Saccharomyces cerevisiae S288C: one gene and its partners. Changing the gene in region 1 together with any one later gene gives a genetic interaction. Each region holds a gene or a part of one and is shown in the gene's direction. Other genes may lie near its edges.

Evidence for each region.
Region 2: mutations in ETR1 (region 1) and CIT1 together harm fitness less than expected from each alone (positive genetic interaction), as found in Saccharomyces cerevisiae (3 studies listed by BioGRID).
Region 3: mutations in ETR1 (region 1) and FYV10 together harm fitness more than expected from each alone (negative genetic interaction), as found in Saccharomyces cerevisiae (2 studies listed by BioGRID).
Region 4: mutations in ETR1 (region 1) and CHK1 together harm fitness more than expected from each alone (negative genetic interaction), as found in Saccharomyces cerevisiae (3 studies listed by BioGRID).

The regions. Positions count from the first base shown.
Region 1 is NC_001134.8:291,487-297,393, reverse strand, and holds ETR1 (enoyl-[acyl-carrier-protein] reductase), read left to right. Parts: upstream 1-3,374; coding exon 3,375-4,517; downstream 4,518-5,907. Other genes in the region: CDS1 (phosphatidate cytidylyltransferase), read left to right, coding at 1-1,025; putative protein kinase YPK3, read left to right, coding at 1,392-2,969; YBR027C (uncharacterized protein), read left to right, coding at 3,038-3,370; OLA1 (Obg-like ATPase), read left to right, coding at 5,529-5,907. UniProt on the Saccharomyces cerevisiae protein: Catalyzes the NADPH-dependent reduction of trans-2-enoyl thioesters in mitochondrial fatty acid synthesis (fatty acid synthesis type II).
Region 2 is NC_001146.8:629,118-635,426, reverse strand, and holds CIT1 (citrate (Si)-synthase CIT1), read left to right. Parts: upstream 1-4,365; coding exon 4,366-5,805; downstream 5,806-6,309. Other genes in the region: RPC34 (DNA-directed RNA polymerase III subunit C34), read left to right, coding at 130-1,083; putative ammonium permease ATO2, read left to right, coding at 1,571-2,419. UniProt on the Saccharomyces cerevisiae protein: Specific citrate synthase with catalytic activity only with acetyl-CoA.
Region 3 is NC_001141.2:176,032-182,477, forward strand, and holds FYV10 (glucose-induced degradation complex subunit FYV10), read left to right. Parts: upstream 1-4,395; coding exon 4,396-5,946; downstream 5,947-6,446. Other genes in the region: XBP1 (Xbp1p), read right to left, coding at 1-1,219; SGA1 (glucan 1,4-alpha-glucosidase), read left to right, coding at 1,973-3,622; FMC1 (Fmc1p), read right to left, coding at 3,741-4,208; BMT5 (25S rRNA (uracil2634-N3)-methyltransferase), read right to left, coding at 6,086-6,446. UniProt on the Saccharomyces cerevisiae protein: Component of the GID E3 ligase complex recruiting N termini and catalyzing ubiquitination of proteins targeted for degradation.
Region 4 is NC_001134.8:746,949-753,207, forward strand, and holds CHK1 (serine/threonine protein kinase CHK1), read left to right. Parts: upstream 1-2,645; coding exon 2,646-4,229; downstream 4,230-6,259. Other genes in the region: HSM3 (Hsm3p), read right to left, coding at 1-855; UBX7 (Ubx7p), read right to left, coding at 1,113-2,423; DNA-binding protein RIF1, read right to left, coding at 4,408-6,259. UniProt on the Saccharomyces cerevisiae protein: Serine/threonine-protein kinase which is required for checkpoint-mediated cell cycle arrest and activation of DNA repair in response to the presence of DNA damage or unreplicated DNA.

The DNA.
Region 1 (5,907 bases):
TGACAAAGACGTTGAACTGGTACCTTCTCTTCACCACTATCTATTACTTAGATGGGAAATCACTCTTCAAGTTTTTCCAAGCTACTTTTTACGAGTATCCTGTATTGAACTTTATCGTAACAAATCATAAGTTTATCTGCTATTGTCTCTATCTTATGGGATTTGTTCTGTTCGTTTGTAGTTTAAGAAAGGGATTTTTGAAATTCCAGTTCGGATCATTGTGCGTTACTCATATGGTTCTTCTTCTGGTAGTATTTCAGGCTCATTTGATCATCAAAAACGTGCTCAATGGGCTATTCTGGTTCTTATTACCATGCGGGTTGGTAATTGTTAATGATATCTTCGCCTACCTGTGCGGCATTACATTCGGTAAGACTAAACTAATAGAAATCTCGCCCAAGAAAACTTTAGAAGGTTTCCTTGGTGCCTGGTTTTTCACTGCTCTAGCTAGTATTATATTAACAAGGATTCTGAGCCCTTATACTTACTTGACGTGCCCTGTTGAAGATCTCCATACCAATTTTTTCTCTAATTTGACATGTGAACTAAACCCAGTTTTCCTTCCACAAGTTTACAGACTTCCACCCATCTTTTTCGATAAAGTTCAAATCAATTCAATTACAGTAAAACCAATTTATTTCCATGCTTTAAACTTAGCTACCTTTGCATCATTATTTGCGCCATTTGGAGGCTTTTTCGCATCTGGTCTAAAGAGAACTTTTAAAGTTAAAGACTTTGGCCACTCCATCCCAGGCCATGGTGGTATCACAGACAGGGTTGATTGCCAATTCATAATGGGTTCTTTTGCCAATTTGTACTATGAAACATTCATCAGCGAACACAGAATAACAGTAGATACAGTTTTATCCACTATTTTAATGAACCTGAACGACAAGCAGATTATAGAATTGATTGATATCTTGATTAGATTCCTATCTAAAAAAGGTATAATATCAGCGAAGAATTTTGAAAAGTTGGCTGACATCTTTAATGTGACCAAGAAATCATTGACCAATCACTCTTGAATATAAAAAAGACCATATAAAAGTATATATGAGTGTATGAATAGTTTTTTTTTTTCAAACTTATGCACGCTATACTACTCTTTCCCTATTTAGTTTATGTAAATTATAAAATATGATATCAATTCTTTAACAAAATTTCTCGCTCGTTTTTATACTTATGACTATATGTAGGAAAATAAACGTGTTGCTCTGTCATGTTACTTCTAAAATATTGAGAGGAGAAAAAAAAAAAAAAAAAAAAAATTATAAACAAATGAAAAAAGGACGTACTGACTAATAGTAAGTAGATCTTTTACCTGGAAGGTGCCCTATGATAAGATTTTTCATCAACCAATCTAGCTGAGCATACTGTTGGCAGTAATTAGGATGATTTTCTCACTAGATGAAGAACTTCATCGTGTGTCACTAGATGATAAAAAGAATGACATTAAAGTAGATTATTCCTCGGCAATATACAATGATATCAATCATGAACAAGGCAGCTCCATCACATATGAGGAGAGTATAAATCACCTCTCGGTTCATTCAAATGCGATTCCGCTAAATGGCATGAGTCCTGCACATAGGATGAGAAGAAGGTCCTCAGCTTATTCCAAATTCCCTATTCTCACTCCACCAAATACGAGAAGATTTTCTATTACAGGTTCGGACGCAATGCGAACTAATACGAATAGACTATCCATAACACCTCAGGACATTATTTCCTCTAATATTGGAGAAAATGAATTATCAAGGAACCTGCACGATTTTAAGCCCGTGAGAGTCCTAGGCCAAGGTGCCTACGGTAAAGTTCTTCTTGTTAAGGACGTCAATACATCCAAGCTGTATGCTATGAAGCAATTACGGAAAGCAGAAATTTTAATTTCTCAAACAGCCACAGATTCCAAGAGAGAAGACGAAGATAAAAATGATGGTAATAACAACGATAATGACGATGGATTATCAAAGAGGCTTGAGAGAACATTTGCCGAACGGTCTATTCTATCTGAAATAGAACATCCAAACATTGTCAAGTTATTTTATTCTTTTCACGATAACTCAAAGTTATATTTACTGCTACAATATATCCCTGGCGGTGAACTATTTTACCACTTGAAGGAACACGGGACCCTAGATGAGACGACAGTTTCGTTTTACGCGGCAGAAATCAGCTGTGCCTTGAGATTTTTGCATACGAAAGGTGTTGTCTATAGAGATTTAAAACCTGAAAACTGTTTATTGAATCAACGTGGACATTTAGTATTGACAGATTTTGGTCTGAGTAAAAAAAGTGCTAATGATTCCGCGGTTGATGAGGAGGATCCAGAGAACGTCAATGCCCTATACTCGATTATCGGTACGCCTGAATACTGTGCGCCTGAAATATTATTAGGTAAAGCTTACAGTCAGAATTGTGATTGGTATTCTTTGGGATGTCTGTTGTATGACATGTTAGTAGGTAAGCCTCCATATACTGGTAGCAATCATAAGGTGATCATTAATAAGATTCAACAAAACAAGCAAGGCCCCAAAATTCCATTTTATCTGAGCGAGGGAATGAAAGATATATTAAACGCGCTGTTGAAGAAGGAAACTGCCAAAAGGTGGAATGTTGACAAATACTGGGCCAAAACCGGGGCTAATAATAAGCCTACTAAGTCTAAGAAGAAGAAATCAGGGGCTGCAAGAACTAGTCTTTTCACTGAACATTTTATCTTTAGAAAAATAGACTGGAAGTTATTAGAATCTGGACAATTGCAAAAAACCACTCTAGGCCCAATTGTTCCAGTTATTACGGATTTGGAACTAGCGGAAAATTTTGACACAGAATTTACTTCTATGTCATATGAGGAAACCTATACGGATAGCAAGCCGATTAATATCAATTCGGTGAGCAAGTCCCCGGATATGTTCAAGGGATTTAGTTATAAAGCAAGTGGTAGCTATTTGGAGAAGTACTTTTGAATTAAAAGTTAGATAGATTAAGAGAGAAGGCTCGGATCTGCACTGACTTACTTTTTTTTGTTTTTTTGATGTTTAAAGGATCTGTGTCACTGTATATACTTTGTTTTGCTTTAGGGTTACGAAACACATTTTTAATATATAATGTATGTAATAATATTAAAAACAACTGTATGGATAATACTTCTGGACCAATCGGTGATACCATCTTCCTTATTTATGGTATTATTATCATTATTGGACCCCGCCGGTGCTTTTTTTTTTACCTTAAAAGAGTGGTTCTCCTCCAAGGGACGCACGAGTGGTGTACCCAGGGGTTGTTTCCATGGCTAAAGAAATTGGAGATTACAAACGTACATTGTCATTTAAGAAGGTTCATAATCTGCCAATTACATTTGATATAACAAGATGCTTCCCACATTCAAACGTTACATGTCGTCCTCAGCTCATCAGATTCCCAAGCACTTCAAATCGCTCATCTATTCAACTCATGAAGTTGAGGATTGTACCAAGGTTTTGTCAGTGAAAAATTATACGCCTAAACAAGACTTATCTCAATCAATTGTGTTAAAAACTTTGGCCTTTCCCATAAACCCTTCGGATATCAATCAGTTGCAAGGAGTATACCCGTCTCGTCCAGAAAAGACATACGATTACTCCACAGATGAGCCAGCCGCTATCGCCGGTAATGAGGGTGTCTTTGAAGTTGTTTCTTTACCTTCGGGAAGTTCCAAGGGAGATTTGAAATTGGGTGACCGAGTTATCCCATTGCAGGCAAATCAAGGGACTTGGTCCAATTATAGAGTTTTCTCTAGTAGTTCTGATTTAATCAAGGTAAATGATTTGGATCTGTTTTCTGCGGCAACTGTATCTGTTAATGGTTGTACCGGTTTCCAATTAGTATCAGACTATATCGACTGGAACAGTAACGGTAATGAATGGATTATCCAAAATGCCGGTACATCTAGTGTATCAAAAATAGTTACGCAAGTAGCAAAAGCTAAAGGGATCAAAACATTAAGTGTTATACGTGACCGTGATAATTTTGATGAGGTAGCAAAAGTTTTGGAGGATAAGTATGGTGCTACGAAGGTTATTTCCGAATCGCAAAACAACGACAAGACTTTTGCCAAAGAAGTATTGTCCAAGATTTTGGGTGAAAATGCAAGGGTGAGGCTTGCCTTGAATTCTGTTGGAGGTAAATCCAGTGCATCAATAGCACGTAAGTTGGAAAATAATGCTTTGATGCTCACTTATGGAGGAATGTCAAAACAACCTGTAACTTTACCAACATCTCTACACATTTTCAAAGGCTTGACATCCAAAGGGTACTGGGTGACTGAAAAGAACAAAAAAAACCCCCAAAGCAAGATTGACACCATCAGTGATTTTATCAAAATGTATAATTATGGTCACATTATTTCACCAAGAGATGAAATTGAAACTCTTACCTGGAATACTAACACTACTACTGACGAACAGTTACTAGAACTAGTCAAAAAAGGTATAACTGGGAAGGGGAAGAAAAAAATGGTTGTTTTAGAATGGTAAGGGCCTTAGCATTGCTCAGAGTTAGACAACCACCAAAGATAGTATTCCTCTTTATGACATCGAGTATAGTTGCTATATAATATATACCAAGACATTAAAAAATATATGCCAGTGCTATCTTTGTAGGAGCTAATAAAAGGGGACGTCGACCCTTCAATGTATATATCGATCCTTTCACATTAGTCAGGACGAGATAATGAGCATGATGTATAAACAAACGGTAGTTAATACCAACGATAAGTTATACAACTACTGTACAATAAAAAAACATCACAATAGCAATACAGGAGTCCTATTCGCTACTTCAACTTGACAAGATCTACTAGATATAGAAATATCTAGCTTAATCAACAATTTTCCTCACTGATTGCTTCCTCCGAATGCCATTATTGGCTTTCTTGGTTCTTAAGCATGATATTACGTATAAATAGCCATTATATCAATTAGAACAAAAGATTACGTAAATGCAATTTTTCCTGAGAATGGCGTTCGAAGAAGGGCGCGTAACTCGTAGAAACCTAAGAATTCTCGTAGAGCGAAGTCTTCGGTAGGAAACGTAGTAGATTTGCAGAAGATACGCCTGTTAAACTGAAGAAAACAAATCTGAGTAGTTTCCCTTCTTTGGAGTTGAGCTTTACAACAAGTTCATATTGTTGGTGCCAATTTGCCTTGAGACAACTAAGGCAGAATGCAGTTGTTGCGTGTTACTTAATTCTCCGTATTGAATGACCACGCACAATTCCTAATTTTTTTTTTTTCTCGAAAATTCTTTTTTTTTTCACTGAAAAAATTTTTTCAAGGGCCATCCCAGCGATTTTATGACCCAAAAGGAAGGATGCAGTGAAAGTCAACTTACGTCTTCTCTCTCATACCTTTCGTTGCGAGAAATCGTATTTAGTAGTGTATTCAGTTGATAATTAGTACTAATTTTTTATTGCATTTTGCCTTTTTTAGCTTTTTGTGTTACTTCTAGTATCCGTAAAAACAATCAAATAAATAGCACTGTAAAACATGCCTCCAAAGAAGCAAGTCGAAGAAAAAAAGGTCTTATTGGGTCGTCCAGGTAATAACTTGAAAGCCGGTATTGTCGGTTTGGCCAATGTTGGTAAGTCTACCTTTTTCCAAGCCATCACTAGATGTCCATTGGGTAACCCAGCTAACTATCCATTCGCTACCATTGATCCAGAAGAAGCCCGTGTTATTGTCCCATCTCCAAGATTTGATAAGTTGTGTGAAATCTACAAGAAGACAGCTTCGGAAGTTCCAGCTCATTTGACCGTTTACGATATTGCTGGTTTGACTAAGGGTGCCTCTGCTGGTGAAGGTTTGGGTAATGCTTTCTTGTCTCACATCAGATCAGTCGATTCTATCTACCAAGTCGTTCGTTGTT
Region 2 (6,309 bases), on another chromosome or scaffold:
ACTTTTTTTTTCCTTCAAATCTTTTATTGTATTAAAAATTTTCAAGTTGATTTGCGATGTATTTGTGAGATGAGATCATTACAGAAAATCTTAATCAAGTGAAGAATTTACAGCGCCAATATCCTGAATATGAGTGGAATGATAGAAAATGGGTTACAGCTATCGGACAATGCTAAAACCTTACATAGCCAGATGATGTCGAAAGGAATAGGCGCATTATTTACACAGCAAGAACTCCAAAAACAAATGGGAATCGGGTCGTTAACAGACTTGATGTCCATTGTACAGGAATTGCTAGACAAGAACTTGATCAAATTAGTAAAACAAAACGACGAATTAAAATTTCAAGGTGTCTTAGAATCTGAGGCGCAAAAGAAAGCCACCATGTCGGCTGAAGAGGCACTGGTATATTCTTATATCGAGGCTAGCGGTAGAGAAGGGATATGGTCCAAGACTATCAAGGCAAGAACCAATCTCCATCAGCATGTAGTTCTTAAATGCTTGAAGAGTTTAGAATCCCAAAGATACGTGAAGAGTGTTAAGAGTGTAAAGTTTCCCACAAGGAAAATCTACATGTTGTACAGCTTACAACCCTCTGTGGACATCACAGGAGGTCCATGGTTCACAGATGGAGAGCTGGATATAGAATTTATCAATAGTTTATTGACTATTGTTTGGAGGTTCATATCAGAGAACACCTTCCCTAATGGCTTCAAGAATTTCGAAAATGGACCCAAAAAAAACGTCTTTTATGCTCCAAACGTAAAAAATTACTCTACCACACAAGAAATTTTGGAATTTATTACAGCGGCACAAGTGGCCAATGTCGAGTTAACCCCTTCAAATATCAGATCTTTGTGTGAAGTCTTAGTGTACGACGACAAGCTGGAAAAAGTCACGCATGACTGCTATAGAGTGACCTTAGAGAGCATTCTACAAATGAACCAAGGTGAGGGCGAGCCGGAGGCAGGTAATAAGGCTTTGGAGGATGAAGAAGAATTTTCCATCTTTAACTACTTCAAGATGTTTCCGGCTTCAAAACACGACAAGGAAGTGGTCTATTTCGATGAATGGACAATTTGAAGTTCTTGACTACCCCTATCTCACACTAGTACGTAATTCAATGTATCATTCGTATTGTAAGTAGATAGAGACGCAATACAGGAAAGCTGACCTTCCTTCCAATCACCACGGCTGAAATGCTTTGTTGACCAATTACGGACGCTTAAGAGCGGACGCGGCTGGAACGGCTCCATCCTAAATCGGCGGAGGGAGAACTCCGATACCAGCCGACATGGCAATAATAGTGACAGTAGATGCTACCAGCCCCGCAATAATTTCACAGTAGATCATCAACAGTCTCCTCATTTCTGGAAATGATCAGCAACTTCGACGGATTTAACTCTCAAGCAGTTACGCACTCCGAGAACAGCCGTGATCATCTTTGAACAAGCAAAATATATAAAGCAGGAGAACTGTCCTACCTAGAGCTAGAATAGCCATAACTAACTATGTAACATTCTACAGATCAATCAAAAACAATCTTCAATCACAGAAAAAAATAAAAGGCATGTCTGACAGAGAACAAAGCAGCGGCAACACCGCTTTTGAGAACCCTAAGGCACTCGATTCTTCCGAGGGTGAGTTCATCTCTGAAAACAACGATCAGAGCCGCCACTCGCAAGAGTCCATATGCAAAATATATACTGCGGGCAAAAACAACGAGTATATTTACATCGGCCGTCAAAAATTTTTAAGGGATGATTTGTTCGAGGCATTCGGTGGTACTCTGAATCCCGGTTTAGCCCCCGCGCCAGTCCATAAATTCGCAAATCCTGCTCCACTAGGACTTTCCGGTTTTGCCCTCACTACGTTTGTCCTATCCATGTTCAATGCAAGAGCCCAAGGCATCACTATCCCTAATGTTGTTGTTGGGTGTGCCATGTTTTACGGTGGCCTCGTTCAACTCATTGCTGGTATTTGGGAAATCGCTTTAGAGAACACTTTCGGTGGTACAGCCCTGTGTTCCTTCGGCGGTTTTTGGTTAAGCTTCGGTGCTATATACATCCCTTGGTTTGGAATTCTAGATGCCTATAAGGACAAGGAATCCGACCTTGGAAATGCGCTAGGGTTTTACCTCCTAGGATGGGCACTCTTCACCTTCGGTCTTTCCGTCTGCACCATGAAATCAACTATAATGTTTTTTGCCTTATTCTTCCTCTTAGCAGTGACCTTCTTACTTCTATCCATTGCAAACTTCACAGGCGAAGTTGGCGTCACTAGAGCTGGTGGGGTCCTTGGTGTGATAGTAGCCTTCATTGCCTGGTACAACGCTTACGCAGGTATTGCCACAAGACAAAACTCGTACATTATGGTCCATCCATTCGCATTACCTAGCAATGATAAGGTGTTCTTCTAAAAACACAAAAGTGCAGGCTAAAATAACTTTTACCCCTATTATATATTCTTATGATCCATTATTTATGAAAAGCCCAGCAAATGTCGAACAAATCGGCCTTTGTTTTATTTCACATAGAATCCTTTATAAAACAACACTGTTCTCATGCATTTCCGAACTATTGTTCTTGTTGTATAGGAGCACGGTTTACCCCTTTTGCTATTGACACATGTAATATCGCATAAAAAAGAAACCGCACTTCATAGTGCATAAGCAGTACAGAAATGATATCACATGTAAGTGATAGCGATTTGACTGTTTGCTACCGACAAGACTATCTGAAATAAGAAAAAAAACGACCCCAGTGAGGGTTGAACTCACGATCTTGCGATTAACAGTCGCACGCCTTAACCAACTTGGCCATGGAGTCACTTTAAATTCTGCAGAACGTGAAAGGTTCGATTTCCATGATCTACACGATTTTAATCATCTGTAAGCCTTGCCATGAAGCTAAATTGGTGAATTTTTAAGAATTGTTTTGTTGGAACGAGAGTAATTAATAGTGACATGAGTTGCTATGGTAACAATCTAATGCTTACATCGTATATTAATGTACACCTCGTATACGTTTAAGTGTGATTGCGCCTATTGCAGAAGGAATGTTAAACGAGAAGCTCAGACAATACTGAAGCTGTGTTAAAGACCTATTAGTTGAACATGTTATGGTAGGTACATATATGAGGAATATGAGTCGTCACATCAATGTTTAGTAACTACCGGAATCACTATTATATTGGTCATGATTAATATGACCAATCAGCGTGTGTTTTATATACATCTCTTATTTAGTATAAGAAGATCAGTACTTATTTCTTCATTAATACTAATTTTTAACCTCTAATTATCAACAGAGGAATATGAGGATTCCTAGATCCTCGAGGAGAACTTCTAGTATATTCTGTATACCTAATATTATAGCCTTTTTCAACAATGGAATCCCAACAATTATCTCAAAAATCACCTAAGCCTCACATGCATGTTTTACGTTGTGGTTGATGATCTATTGATGTTGAGGTACCATATTTTGAAATTCATTAAAACAACTTCTACCGGGCGTGTGGTCTAGAGGTATGATTCTCGCTTAGGGTGCGGGAGGTCCCGGGTTCGAGTCCCGGCTCGCCCCCATTGATTTATTTTTATCAAATTTTTTAATATTGCATATCTTTAGTGGGCAAAAAATTTTTCCCTGGGCAAAAATATAAGAGAGCTCATCTTATTGTTGTCAGCCCAATGATTCCCTTGTCAAATTGAATTTTCGGATTTACTTGTTCAGGTACCCGCGTTAAGGGGCTGCCGCGCCTGTCACTCTAAGAAAAAAGGAGCCATCAAAAACCATTCAGCATTAACTAAAAACGCGGGTAGAGATTACTACATATTCCAACAAGACCTTCGCAGGAAAGTATACCTAAACTAATTAAAGAAATCTCCGAAGTTCGCATTTCATTGAACGGCTCAATTAATCTTTGTAAATATGAGCGTTTTTACGTTCACATTGCCTTTTTTTTTATGTATTTACCTTGCATTTTTGTGCTAAAAGGCGTCACGTTTTTTTCCGCCGCAGCCGCCCGGAAATGAAAAGTATGACCCCCGCTAGACCAAAAATACTTTTGTGTTATTGGAGGATCGCAATCCCTTTGGAGCTTTTCCGATACTATCGACTTATCCGACCTCTTGTTGTTTGAAAATGTCAATTGATATCCATCCATTATATAAATGCTCAAAACTTGCAGCAACTATTCTTTACCCTTCCCCTGTTATGGATTGCTAGTCTTAAGGGGGAAATTTGCTGTTTACTAAAATACAAACCAGGTTTGTTTTGGCTTTTATTTGCATTTAAGTAATTACAATTACAACCATTAAAAAGAAAATAAGGCAAAACATATAGCAATATAATACTATTTACGAAGATGTCAGCGATATTATCAACAACTAGCAAAAGTTTCTTATCAAGGGGCTCCACAAGACAATGTCAAAATATGCAAAAGGCTCTTTTTGCACTATTGAATGCTCGCCACTATAGTAGCGCCTCCGAACAAACGTTGAAGGAGAGATTTGCTGAAATTATCCCAGCAAAGGCAGAAGAAATTAAAAAATTCAAGAAAGAACACGGTAAAACCGTTATTGGTGAAGTTCTTTTGGAGCAAGCTTATGGTGGTATGAGAGGTATTAAAGGCCTTGTTTGGGAAGGTTCCGTGTTAGACCCCGAAGAAGGTATTAGATTTAGGGGTCGTACTATTCCAGAAATTCAAAGGGAACTACCAAAGGCTGAGGGTAGTACAGAACCTTTGCCAGAAGCTTTATTTTGGTTGCTTTTGACTGGTGAAATACCTACTGACGCTCAAGTTAAAGCCCTTTCTGCTGATTTAGCTGCCAGATCAGAAATTCCAGAGCACGTTATCCAACTTTTAGATAGCCTCCCAAAAGATCTACATCCAATGGCGCAATTTTCTATTGCCGTGACTGCTTTAGAAAGCGAGTCTAAGTTTGCCAAAGCATATGCTCAAGGTGTATCCAAGAAAGAATATTGGAGCTATACATTTGAAGATTCGTTAGATCTGCTGGGTAAATTACCTGTTATTGCTTCCAAAATTTATCGTAATGTGTTCAAGGATGGTAAAATTACTTCAACCGATCCTAATGCTGACTATGGTAAAAATTTGGCCCAACTTTTGGGCTACGAAAACAAGGATTTTATTGACTTAATGAGACTATATTTAACTATTCATTCTGATCATGAAGGTGGTAACGTTTCTGCCCATACTACACATTTAGTGGGTTCTGCCTTATCTTCGCCATACTTATCTTTGGCCGCTGGTTTGAATGGTTTAGCTGGCCCATTACATGGTCGTGCCAATCAAGAAGTTTTAGAATGGCTATTTAAATTGAGAGAAGAAGTGAAAGGTGACTATTCAAAAGAAACAATTGAAAAGTACTTGTGGGATACTTTGAACGCAGGGAGAGTTGTTCCTGGTTATGGCCATGCGGTTTTGAGAAAAACTGATCCTCGTTATACGGCTCAACGTGAATTCGCATTGAAACATTTCCCAGATTACGAGTTATTTAAGTTGGTCTCCACCATTTATGAAGTTGCCCCAGGGGTTTTAACTAAGCATGGTAAAACTAAGAACCCATGGCCAAATGTTGATTCACATTCCGGTGTTTTATTGCAATACTATGGTCTAACTGAGGCTTCGTTCTACACTGTATTGTTTGGTGTTGCCAGAGCTATTGGTGTGTTACCCCAATTAATCATCGATAGGGCTGTTGGTGCTCCAATCGAAAGGCCAAAATCATTCTCCACCGAAAAATACAAGGAGTTGGTAAAGAAAATCGAAAGTAAGAACTAAGGAAAATTTGATTTTTGATTCAGGGTATGCGACTATTCAAACACGTATTTTCATATACGAATGAGTAGTTTATAATTTATATAAATATATATTACATAAGGAAATGGCTATGACTTCATGATTTTTACGCTTTGAGTCCCCTATGCCTACCGGTTATGTTATATACTTGGCAAATGATATCAATGAATAGAAAACAAAATGCTCTTAAATTCCTGCAAAGCGCTTTCAAATCGAATTGTGGTGGGCTGGCGCGCTGATTTAGCAGTAAAATCTAGCCTGTAGTCGATATACTACGTCAAGGTGTAACTAACGTTTATATGTATATGAACCTGCAGAAGAAGCAAAATGACAAGGTTAATGCATCTTTATCTGTCCTAGAGTAGAAGATACACTAAAAAGTTGATAAAGCGAATATAATATGGTCATGTGAAAAAAGCAATCTCATAAAATTTTCTCTTTTTCCTTTTTTTCTTCTGTTCTTACCTCAAGATAAATGTCACTTTT
Region 3 (6,446 bases), on another chromosome or scaffold:
AACTAGCAAATGTAACGTTTTGATGAGCCAAATACCACGATTCGCAATCTTTGGGGAAATCTGGACCAAAAATAGGCACCAGAAAGTATCTGATCGGAAAACAAAACCGCAGGCATAGCAACCTTGAGATTTCCATCGGCAACCAAGTACCCTGAATTTTGATGTAACCACCTCTTATTCTTTTCGTAAAATTTGCCGGATTTAAGTTGGGCAAGTCTATTTGGTCAGGACCAAGTTCATTGATCAGGAAGTCTTTGTAAGACTGGCAAATAAGGTCCCGCAGTTCGGGCTTGATGTTGTTCCAATGAAAATCGATGTAATTGTTTGCCTGCGTTGAAGAAGTAGATGAAGAAGACGCATTGGCGTCCAAGAAGGTAGACCCTGTGGATGTCCGTCTCTTTGGCGGCGAAGAGGTGGAGGACGACAACAGTACGCTTGAAGATTCCTCAGAAGTGAACGAACTGTGATTGTAAAAGCAAAAAGATAGAATTTTCTCGAATTCAGCCTTGCAAAAGAACTGCTGTTGGCTAGTGGAAACGCTGTCACCTCTGGGCAAGTTTATAAGCCCCTTCATAACATCCTGATACAGCCGCCAGATGCCCGTCATGAACACATAGCCGGAGTCATGCGACCATATTACGCAGTTGTTAGGGTTGATGAGCTTGTCATTGATCAGATTATGGTCCATTTTGGTCAACTTGAACTGCTGATTCTTTGTCAGCGAGGAGGTGGCATTTTCACGCGATGCTGTTGACAGAGCCTTCTTTTCTTGCTTGGTGGGTGATGCTGAGACTGGTGTTTTGTTAGACCGGGAAGGTAGTATGATCTTACCCATCAGAATATTTTTATCGTGCAGATGCAAGGCGGAGTGAGGAGTGGCGGAGCTAGCGAGCTGCGATAGCAACGTTTGTTCGTGGACTAGGCTCTGAATTGTTTGTAGGTTGGGAAACTGGTACTCGAAGCAGTTCAGAACGTTCTGCGCCGCCGCCTCTTCCCCGTTCCCTGCGTCCCGAGCACTGATAATGAAGTTTGGATGTGTGAACTGCGCAGCAATGGAGGATTTATAGTTAACCTTTCTAATATTGAGTCCGGCGCTGAAACTGGCCGGCGGCGAGTCCCTATCCAGTACGCTGACGAGGTAGAGACGCTGATAGTCGTCCAGGGGGTTGTCCGTTAAGTGTACCGTGTCACTGTTAATGCTAAAAGCGGGATATTTCATGTTGGAGAAGGTGTCTATGATAAGGTATTTTGAGCTTGCCGTTGTGTGGGGAGAAGAACTGGATGCGTACCGAGAACGAGCAAGTTAAAACACTAGTACACGAATAATAGATATATATATGTATGTATATATATGTTGAAGTGTGTACACACGTACACGCACAAGCTACAGACGCCACGCGGCCCGGCATTCATATATGTACATACATTTATGCACATATATATATATATATATATGTATATGTAAATGTATATATACAGCTTGTGATTTCGCGCGCCGAATGGGCTGAAAAGCACAGTATAGTGGAGAAGAAGAGAGAGGAGAAGGGGAGAGGGGCAATAGCAATGGATGTGGTAGAATACAGGGAAGGCCAAGCTGTTGTTCAATGGATGCGGTTCGAGGCCCAGCGCAAGGGGGGCGCTTCGAAGCATAGAACATTATCCGCGGAAACGGGTATTAGGGGTGAGGGTGAATAAGGAAAGTCAGGGAAATCGGGCCAGAGTAACACCCATTCATAGCACTCGTACAAGGTGCTTTTAACTTGCCTGCATGTGTGGAGTCACAAATTAGGGGACTCAGGCACAGAAGCAAGGGTCCTTTTTTGGTTCCCTGTTTCCTCCTGCGCATTTCGTATTTTTTCTCATCTCTTGGCTCTGGATCCGTTATCTGTTCTGTTACACAAGAAATCGTACATTTACAATATAGTGATAATCGTGGACTAGAGCAAGATTTCAAATAAGTAACAGCAGCAAAATGGCAAGACAAAAGATGTTTTATAACAAATTACTCGGCATGCTCAGCGTAGGATTCGGGTTTGCTTGGGCGCTCGAGAACATTACTATATACGAATTTGACTTTGGCAAGGGCATTCTCGATCAAAGCTACGGCGGTGTATTTTCAAACAACGGCCCTTCGCAAGTGCAGCTGCGGGATGCAGTCTTGATGAATGGGACAGTGGTATACGATTCAAACGGCGCTTGGGACAGTAGTGCGCTGGAGGAATGGCTCCAGGGACAGAAAAAAGTTTCCATCGAAAAAATATTTGAAAATATTGGGCCCAGCGCCGTGTATCCGTCTATTTCGCCTGGGGTCGTGATTGCGTCACCATCGCAAACGCATCCAGACTACTTCTACCAATGGATAAGGGACAGCGCGTTGACGATAAACAGTATTGTCTCTCATTCTGCGGGCCCGGCAATAGAGACGTTATTGCAGTACCTGAACGTTTCATTCCACTTGCAAAGAAGCAACAACACATTGGGCGCTGGCATTGGTTACACTAACGATACAGTGGCTTTGGGAGACCCTAAGTGGAACGTCGACAACACGGCTTTCACGGAAGATTGGGGTCGTCCTCAAAACGATGGGCCTGCTCTTCGAAGCATTGCCATCTTAAAAATCATCGACTACATCAAGCAATCTGGCACTGATCTGGGGGCCAAGTACCCATTCCAGTCCACCGCAGATATCTTTGATGATATTGTACGTTGGGACCTGAGGTTCATTATTGACCACTGGAATTCTTCCGGATTTGATCTATGGGAGGAAGTCAATGGCATGCATTTCTTTACTTTACTGGTACAACTGTCTGCAGTGGACAAGTCGCTGTCGTATTTTAACGCCTCAGAACGGTCGTCTCCCTTTGTTGAAGAATTGCGTCAGACACGCCGGGACATCTCCAAGTTTTTAGTGGACCCTGCGAATGGGTTTATCAACGGCAAGTACAATTATATTGTTGGGACACCCATGATTGCCGACACATTGAGATCCGGACTGGACATATCCACTTTATTAGCTGCGAACACCGTCCACGATGCGCCATCTGCTTCCCATCTTCCGTTCGATATCAATGACCCTGCCGTCCTGAACACGTTGCACCATTTGATGTTGCACATGCGTTCGATATACCCCATCAACGATAGCTCCAAAAATGCAACGGGTATTGCCCTGGGCCGGTATCCTGAGGACGTATATGATGGATATGGCTTTGGCGAGGGAAATCCCTGGGTCCTGGCCACGTGTACCGCTTCAACAACGCTTTATCAGCTCATTTACAGACACATCTCTGAGCAGCATGACTTGGTTGTCCCAATGAACAACGATTGTTCGAACGCATTTTGGAGCGAGCTGGTATTCTCCAACCTCACGACTTTGGGAAATGACGAAGGCTATTTGATTTTGGAGTTCAATACACCTGCCTTCAATCAAACCATACAAAAAATCTTCCAACTAGCTGATTCATTCTTGGTCAAGCTGAAAGCTCACGTGGGAACAGACGGGGAACTAAGTGAACAATTTAACAAATACACAGGGTTTATGCAGGGTGCCCAACACCTTACCTGGTCCTATACTTCATTCTGGGATGCCTATCAAATAAGACAAGAAGTTTTACAGAGTTTGTAGACAAAAAAAAAAATAAAAGGAAAGCGAGAAGTATACACAAGTGTATTTCCTAGATATTTACATCAAATATATATATATACTTATTTACAAAACTCTGATATTATAAATTGATTAGATACTATGTCGGAACGTCCAGCCCAACCACGTTTGCAGTTCTTTTCACTTTCTCATCCTGTGTCAACTTGTTGCCAGGATTGTATCTGTCGACCAGCTCCTCGTATTCTCTTTGGTTGTCCAAGAACTTGATGATGTCCAAAGCGTGTTCGAATATCTCGTCAACGTTTTGTCCCTGGGCCACCTTTTTCTCCCACTTTATATCGTTTTGTAATATGGAACGTAATGACTTAGAGTCGGCTATAAACAAATTCAAAGATCTGTCGCTTACCGGATCTAGTTTTTTCCATTTCTCTAACTGTCTGTTGATGTTCTCATGCGAGTCTCTCTGATTTTGTTTCTTAGCATATTCCAACTTTGTTATCATTGCCTTTCGTAGATTGCCCCAATTGACTATCTTGCTTGGCCTTTCATATTTCAGAATGGCTCTTATGAGTCCTCTATATGTGCGTAATGTTCTTGGTCTATCCATTTCCCTGGCACTCTCTCTTTCTCTCTCTTTTCAGCTTTTTGTTATCCACTTATCGCTGCAAATGAAACTCTAGTGCAATTTGAGATATTCACTTTTTGCAAAGGCGAAGAGAAGGGGGTGGTTAAATCTACAATTTCATACATAAAACAGAGAAAATGATTATAAATTATAGGAAAGTAGGTAAGCCATGGCAGAGAAATCAATATTTAATGAGCCTGATGTGGATTTCCATTTGAAATTAAATCAACAATTATTTCATATTCCTTATGAACTACTGTCCAAACGTATCAAGCATACTCAAGCGGTAATTAATAAGGAAACCAAATCACTACATGAACACACGGCCGCATTAAATCAAATATTTGAACATAATGACGTTGAGCACGACGAGTTGGCACTAGCAAAAATAACTGAAATGATTAGGAAAGTTGACCATATAGAAAGATTTTTAAATACGCAAATCAAGTCCTACTGTCAGATTTTGAACAGAATTAAAAAAAGGCTGGAGTTTTTCCACGAACTGAAGGACATCAAGTCACAAAATTCAGGAACATCGCACAATGGAAATAATGAGGGTACCAGGACTAAATTGATACAGTGGTATCAGAGTTATACAAACATTTTAATTGGTGATTATCTGACGAGGAATAACCCGATTAAATACAACTCGGAGACAAAGGATCATTGGAACTCTGGCGTAGTGTTTTTGAAACAGAGCCAACTGGATGATCTCATTGATTATGATGTCCTCTTGGAGGCTAATAGAATTTCGACTTCGTTACTACATGAGCGTAATCTCTTACCCCTAATTTCATGGATAAACGAGAACAAAAAGACACTGACCAAAAAGTCCTCTATATTAGAGTTTCAAGCAAGATTGCAAGAATATATTGAACTACTAAAGGTGGATAACTATACCGACGCTATAGTATGTTTTCAAAGATTCCTTTTACCATTCGTTAAGAGCAACTTCACCGATTTAAAATTAGCATCTGGACTTCTGATTTTTATCAAATACTGTAATGATCAAAAGCCAACTTCTTCTACCAGCTCTGGATTCGATACTGAAGAGATTAAGTCTCAAAGTTTACCAATGAAGAAAGATCGAATATTTCAACATTTTTTTCACAAATCTTTACCTAGAATTACCTCCAAACCTGCGGTGAATACAACAGACTATGACAAGAGTTCCTTAATAAATTTACAAAGTGGAGATTTCGAAAGATATCTGAATTTATTAGATGATCAAAGATGGTCGGTATTAAATGATTTATTCTTGAGCGACTTTTATTCCATGTATGGCATATCACAAAATGACCCTTTATTGATATACCTGTCACTAGGTATATCGTCTTTGAAGACAAGAGATTGCCTGCACCCTTCTGACGATGAAAATGGAAATCAAGAGACGGAAACTGCCACAACAGCAGAGAAAGAAGTTGAAGATTTACAACTCTTTACGCTACATTCACTAAAAAGGAAAAATTGTCCCGTTTGCAGTGAGACTTTCAAACCAATAACACAGGCATTACCATTTGCTCATCACATTCAGTCTCAATTATTTGAAAATCCAATACTATTACCAAATGGAAATGTTTACGACAGTAAAAAATTGAAGAAATTGGCCAAAACATTGAAAAAGCAAAACTTAATTTCTTTAAATCCAGGTCAAATTATGGATCCAGTTGACATGAAAATATTTTGCGAATCAGATTCTATCAAAATGTACCCAACCTGAAATAGTTTCAAGCTATATGCATTTTTTTATATAAAGATTTGTCCAACTTTCACAACTATTTTACAGATACTTACGCTATATAAGAATTAGGGAAAATGAAAGTTCTTTCATCAACATGGCGACATTCTTCCTTCTGTACTTAGTCTGAATCAGAATCTGTGTCTTTTTTGCTTTTACGGTTATGTTTTGAACTATTCGAGACATATTTACTAAAGATGTAGAACCTAGCATCACGTTCTTTCGCAGGTTTTGTAGTATCTTGTTCGCTATTCGTTCTCCGGTGATGATATCCTGGAAAATTTTCCCATTGGAATTTGCTCGATCTGCTCAGAGTTAGTCCATTTTTTTTGGCTAAAAGTTTGATTTGCCATGAATCATAGGGCTCTCCATCGAAAAGGGACAGTATGATGTTACCATAACCTTCGGCGGTCAATTTTTTAGCCTGGGGAGTATCCTCATTAAGATCATAGCCTTGCGTATAACGAAGAGTATCATTTTGA
Region 4 (6,259 bases), 460 kb from region 1:
TGTAGAAAAGGCCCTGACATCAGGATAGTTCTCCGTGTCTTCAAAAAGTTGAGCAAATACTGGCAGTATTTTTTTTACATGTCTTAAAGCCCAGTATTTATCTTGATTTCGTATTTCCAGCAAAAACTTAGTATAATAATTAACCAATTCGATGAAAACGAGGATATCTTCAACGGATTTCAGTATCTCTTCTTTAGTAAAGCAAAATATGATATCCTTGAACTCAGGACCGCTGATGAATTGAAACTCAATAGTCAAGAAGTCAATTAATCTGACAAAAGAAACCGTTTCCATTCTACCCTTTACGCTCACCAGGTATGGCAAATTATTATCAAATAATCGACGCCTAATCAATTCATCTGTACTCAACCTTTCCAACGCTTTTTCGATTGCTGTAATGAGCTTATCATTCTCCACTTTCTCATCAAATAGAATATCCAATAGAATATCGATGATATTACTGGTCGCGAATAAACCCTTTGGCTGCGAATTCTCAATGACTCTACATGCTGCTACTTTTAATGGATCTATTTCTGACCTAAGGGCCTTCACTAAGTCCTCCGCGCTATAAACTTCTAGAACATCGTCAAAATCAGCCATGGGAACAAGCTTGTCCACAACGTCCAAAAGGTAATCGTAATTCAATGAATCATAGGATACGTTAGACGTCAGAAAACGCTTGATCGTAGCCAGTAGTGGTTTAACATCCATATCTGGAAGGGAGACAACAGTCACAAGATTCAAAGAACATTTCCTTAATAGTGTGTTGATATCTTCAGGCAAGTTATCTTCATTAAGTTCATTTTCTAATTGCGTAAGGAGATTTTCCACGTAATTTGTTTCTTTCTCACTCATTGCTCCTGTTTCGCTGAGTTCTTTTGCGGTGATTATAGTTGTAAACTTGTTTTATTTTTAATCCCGTAATTAAGGTGTTTATATAAACTTACTCTTCAATTTTTCTATATGCATTTGAAACAGAAAAAAAGATATAAAAATACCAGCTATAACAAAAATCCATGTAAATAAAATTACTGTATATTTTTTTATGTAATCTAATCAAAAAAAATTCACGTCTAATACTAGTCATAAATGGAGTTGAAGCCATTAACTACTTATTTTTTATCTTCGTCCTTTTTCTTTTCTAAATGGACATTATTACCATTAAAGGTTGTTGGGTCTTCAGGATCTTCTTGATGATCGTTGTTAACAAATTGGAAAACATTTGGCGAGACAGAACGTGACGTAGTAAGGTTGGTTTCCGATGGGTACCTGGTTCCGCTAGGTGTCAGCATTGGTGATGCATGAGCAGATGATTGAACTGGTTCCCGAACATTGTTGTATTGGAAACAGCTTGACGAAGCAGCTCCAGATAAAGGTGTTGAAGACCTCACTTCGTGACGATTCGGCTTCGATGTTTCCTCACGTTGTGATGTTACTTCAGGATCTTTATCGTTGTGCCACCACGTAGAGAATCCCTTATAAAGACGGCCCAAAAGGCTTGGTCCCTCCATCCCAGTCACAGATAGCCCCGAGTTTTGAGTTTCTAGTGGTTTAAGTAATAATGCAGACCTTGGAGTTAGTTCTAGTGTCTCTAGCGTCTTCAATTCATCAGAATCCTTAAATGTCACTCTGGGAATGCCCCTGTGGAATGAGTACGGGCAGTCTCCATCTGTCCTGTTGACGTCCACCCATTTTCTAACGTCATTTAATGTTTCAGACGAGTTGAACTCATGTTTTAGAGTCTTGCCATCAGTCATCCTGATTTGCAAGACGCATTTGCTGCTGTGCAGTTTTTGTGCGTCTTTTATGTAATCATGAACATCCAATGGCTTATCATCATCAAGGGTTCTGTGATGAGTTTCATCAAGAGCTTTTCTTTCTGCACGGTCTGCCCTAACAAGTCTTATAATTCTTTCTCTTTCCTCCTCAGCCAGCTTTCTTTGTTTCAGTTGTTCACGACGTTGGATCTCTAAGGTAGTCTCAGCAATCCGTTCTCTTGCATTTTTCCTATGGACGTCTCTGGATGACTTTTCTTCTCTAGCCAAACCTGGATTGGTTTCCCTGGACGAACTCTCACCAGCCTTTTTGTCTTTGATGCCTATGCACGCCAGCAACTTCTCCCAATGTCGGTCATCCTCGCCTTGAATAATCAATTCTATCTTTCCAGCACGTATCAAGTATATACTGGGTACAACTACATTAGGAAATACTTGCTCAAATAACTGGAACTGCTCAGTGTCTTTGACCAACCTCAACCAAATACTATGTTCCGCTAAAGTATCTAATGAGACATCATCTCCTTTAAACCAACTTTTCAGCCACTGGTCATCCCGTGCAGTGTTGTAAACGGCCAGCACAACGCCTTCCTTGATGGAATCGTTTATTGCTTCTTCCACAGAATCTCTAAACAGTGCTTCTAACATTTGGTTACGGCTGTTTGGTTTAGCTATCCTTGCTTCTTTGTAAGTGCTTTCAACCTCAACCCAGCTCCCTTTTAAATTTTCAACATTACTACGAGGCCTGCCGAAGTTAATAAAGAGCGGCTTTAAATGTCATTTTAATAATTGAATGGCAAATAAAAACAACTACAGCTTCAAACATAAGAGTATATCATAAGTTGCTGTATATGGGCAGCACGTATTACTATGAGTCTCTCGCAGGTGTCACCTTTACCCCATATCAAGGATGTTGTTTTAGGAGATACAGTAGGCCAAGGCGCATTCGCCTGCGTTAAAAATGCTCATCTTCAAATGGATCCCTCCATTATTCTAGCTGTTAAATTCATTCATGTTCCCACTTGCAAAAAAATGGGACTCAGTGACAAGGATATCACAAAAGAGGTTGTTTTGCAATCGAAGTGTTCTAAGCATCCTAATGTTTTGAGACTTATCGATTGTAATGTCTCTAAAGAATATATGTGGATAATTCTGGAGATGGCAGATGGTGGTGATCTATTTGATAAGATTGAGCCTGACGTTGGAGTTGATTCCGACGTGGCCCAATTTTACTTTCAACAGCTCGTTAGTGCTATTAATTATCTGCATGTAGAATGTGGAGTTGCTCACAGAGACATCAAGCCTGAAAACATCTTACTCGATAAGAACGGAAATCTGAAGCTAGCTGATTTTGGGCTCGCCTCTCAATTTAGGAGGAAAGATGGTACATTACGTGTATCCATGGATCAAAGGGGTTCTCCACCCTACATGGCTCCTGAAGTATTATATTCTGAAGAGGGTTATTACGCAGATCGAACAGATATATGGTCTATTGGCATCCTCTTGTTCGTATTGTTGACTGGTCAAACGCCTTGGGAATTACCTTCATTAGAGAACGAAGATTTCGTCTTTTTTATTGAAAATGATGGAAATTTAAACTGGGGACCCTGGTCAAAGATAGAATTTACTCACTTGAACCTACTCCGAAAAATTTTACAACCTGACCCAAATAAGAGGGTGACATTGAAGGCTTTAAAGTTACATCCTTGGGTATTACGTCGAGCTTCATTTTCTGGGGATGATGGTCTCTGTAATGACCCTGAACTCTTGGCTAAGAAACTGTTTTCTCACTTAAAAGTCTCACTGAGTAACGAAAATTATTTGAAATTCACTCAAGATACAAACTCTAATAATAGGTACATTTCTACTCAGCCAATTGGTAACGAATTGGCTGAGCTTGAACACGACTCAATGCATTTCCAGACAGTTTCGAATACACAACGTGCATTTACCTCGTATGATTCAAATACGAACTATAATAGCGGAACAGGTATGACACAAGAGGCTAAGTGGACGCAATTCATAAGCTATGATATCGCTGCCTTACAGTTTCATTCTGATGAAAATGATTGTAATGAATTAGTAAAACGACATTTACAATTTAATCCGAATAAACTTACCAAGTTCTACACGTTGCAACCTATGGATGTTTTGTTACCGATTTTGGAGAAAGCCTTGAATTTATCACAAATTAGAGTAAAACCCGACCTTTTTGCGAATTTTGAAAGATTGTGCGAATTATTGGGTTATGATAACGTTTTCCCACTTATTATAAATATTAAAACCAAAAGTAATGGGGGTTATCAATTATGCGGTAGCATTTCCATCATAAAGATTGAAGAAGAGTTGAAAAGTGTCGGATTTGAAAGAAAAACTGGTGATCCTTTAGAATGGAGAAGATTGTTCAAGAAAATTTCAACTATCTGTAGGGATATTATCCTAATTCCCAACTGAAAAAAATGGAGACAAAAGAAGGGTTAAGATGCACTGATCAAAAAAAAAAAAAAATTCTTTCTACTTATTATATATCTCTCTCGATTTCTAGTGTGTCATCGTAACTATATATTGTTTCGAGAGATTTTATTATTGTAATTAATTTATTGCCATTTTGATCTATTCTACATACTAACAATCAATTCATATCATTATCCCTGTTTGAGTAATATTCGAGCCTCATCATAAAATCTAATAATTCAATTCTCAAGTTTCTTCTTTCTTCCACAGATATTCCGTTCAAGTCGCCCGGTGTGAACCCTCTCAATCTGGCCACTAACCTTCTCGACTTTTTTGAAAAAAAGTGCACTTTTAATGAAGGTGTGGCTTCCCTAGATGTAGCATCTTCGTTACCATCTCCCCCCAACAAAGGTTCGCCATCTGCTTCTGTGTGGGCTTGGCCTAATTGAATTTCATGGTGTTTTTCTTTTCCACCAATTGTTTTTGGTACGGTGTCTAAGCCATTCTGCGCGTTGATATTTGTATTTTCTGTCATTCGAGGAGGTGAATCTGGTGGCATTAACTCATTCCTTTGCAATCTCTTTTTCAATTTCTCTTTTATTTGGCTCTTTGACCCTTGCATTTTCAAAGAATTGAAAATGGGTATACGAATTTCTGGTAACACTGAAATATCAGCAACTTCGGGTTGTTCTTCTAGACCTGTCTCTTTAGATACCGCATGTTCCATTGATTTTAAAAAGCCCTCATCTCTGACATTTTCTTCAACAGGTACAAAATCGTCATTAATATTGGCATCCTTATCTCCTTTAAGCGGTCCCTTCAAATTTTTATTAAGTTCGCATGTTCCACTATCTTCTAAGCGTACATTGATACCTTCTTCGGTCATAACAACTTCCCTAGATTCTTCTTCAGTGCCTTGAATGGGTGTGCTGTCCATCCTGTCATTATTTTTGTTTCTACTGTTTATTGCACCCACTTGATGTTTCTCTTGCGCAACCGTTCCATGTTCATCTTCATCACTACGCAAGTCATCAACTTTTGATTTTTCTGTCTGCTTTGAACTATTGAGAAGTATAGTCCCACTCGGGATCTGAATGCCGTCTCCTGGCACCTCATTCCTTACTGGAGAGGCTTGTTCAACATTACAAGCATAATCGTTGTTTTCACCCTCATTATTAGGACGGGCTTTCTTCACGCTCTTGTACTGTGCAATATTGTCTTGCGTAAAACTTTTACTGTTGATTTTATTCATACTTTCCTGGTTCTCCTGTCTTTGAACATGTTCAACTTGCCCTTTTCCATCTTCCTTTGTTATGGTTTGCTGGTCAAGATCTAAAGTGACATTCAAGGAATTTTCATTACAGTTTGTTTCCACTTTTATGCTATTCCTTAAAGCTAACGAAGATTCTTCGTTGGCTATACTCTTGATGTTAGTACATATAACGTCACTGCTAGGCGACACCGCTTGTTCCTCAGAAACTAAAACGTCCACCATCGTTTCATGACCTTTCGATCTTTTATTTTCAGAGGTAGGCGTCTCTTTGGAAGGTCGTTTTAGAGGATTATCACTGTTAACAACGTTATGATCAGGATTCGTTTTGATAGATCTATTTGTTACCGCCTTCAGTTCGCTAGTGAGAACTTCTATCGGTTGGTATGCGTTCACTTCCGAGGATTGTGTATCAATACTTTCATGCAGCTCAGTAACATCCACCTCATCGCTTTTAGTAGAACAAATGTTGCTATGATTGGCCACGTTTTTATCTAACTGCGTACTCTTCATCTGCTGATCTATTTCTCTAATGCTTTCATTATCCACTTCCTCTAGTGTTTCATCATCAATTGATCTGCTTCGGTTAGCATGTGATTCTTGCTGTGAAGAATTCATTATTGCAGTATTTTTAAGCGATATTGAATCTGAATCTTTCGCACTAATCTGGGAAGATATTTGAATTGAGGAGGGAGGCTCTTTCATTCCCTGCGTAGCCGGAACCTGGATATCTTGAGAATCCACTTTTCTCTGTAAGTTT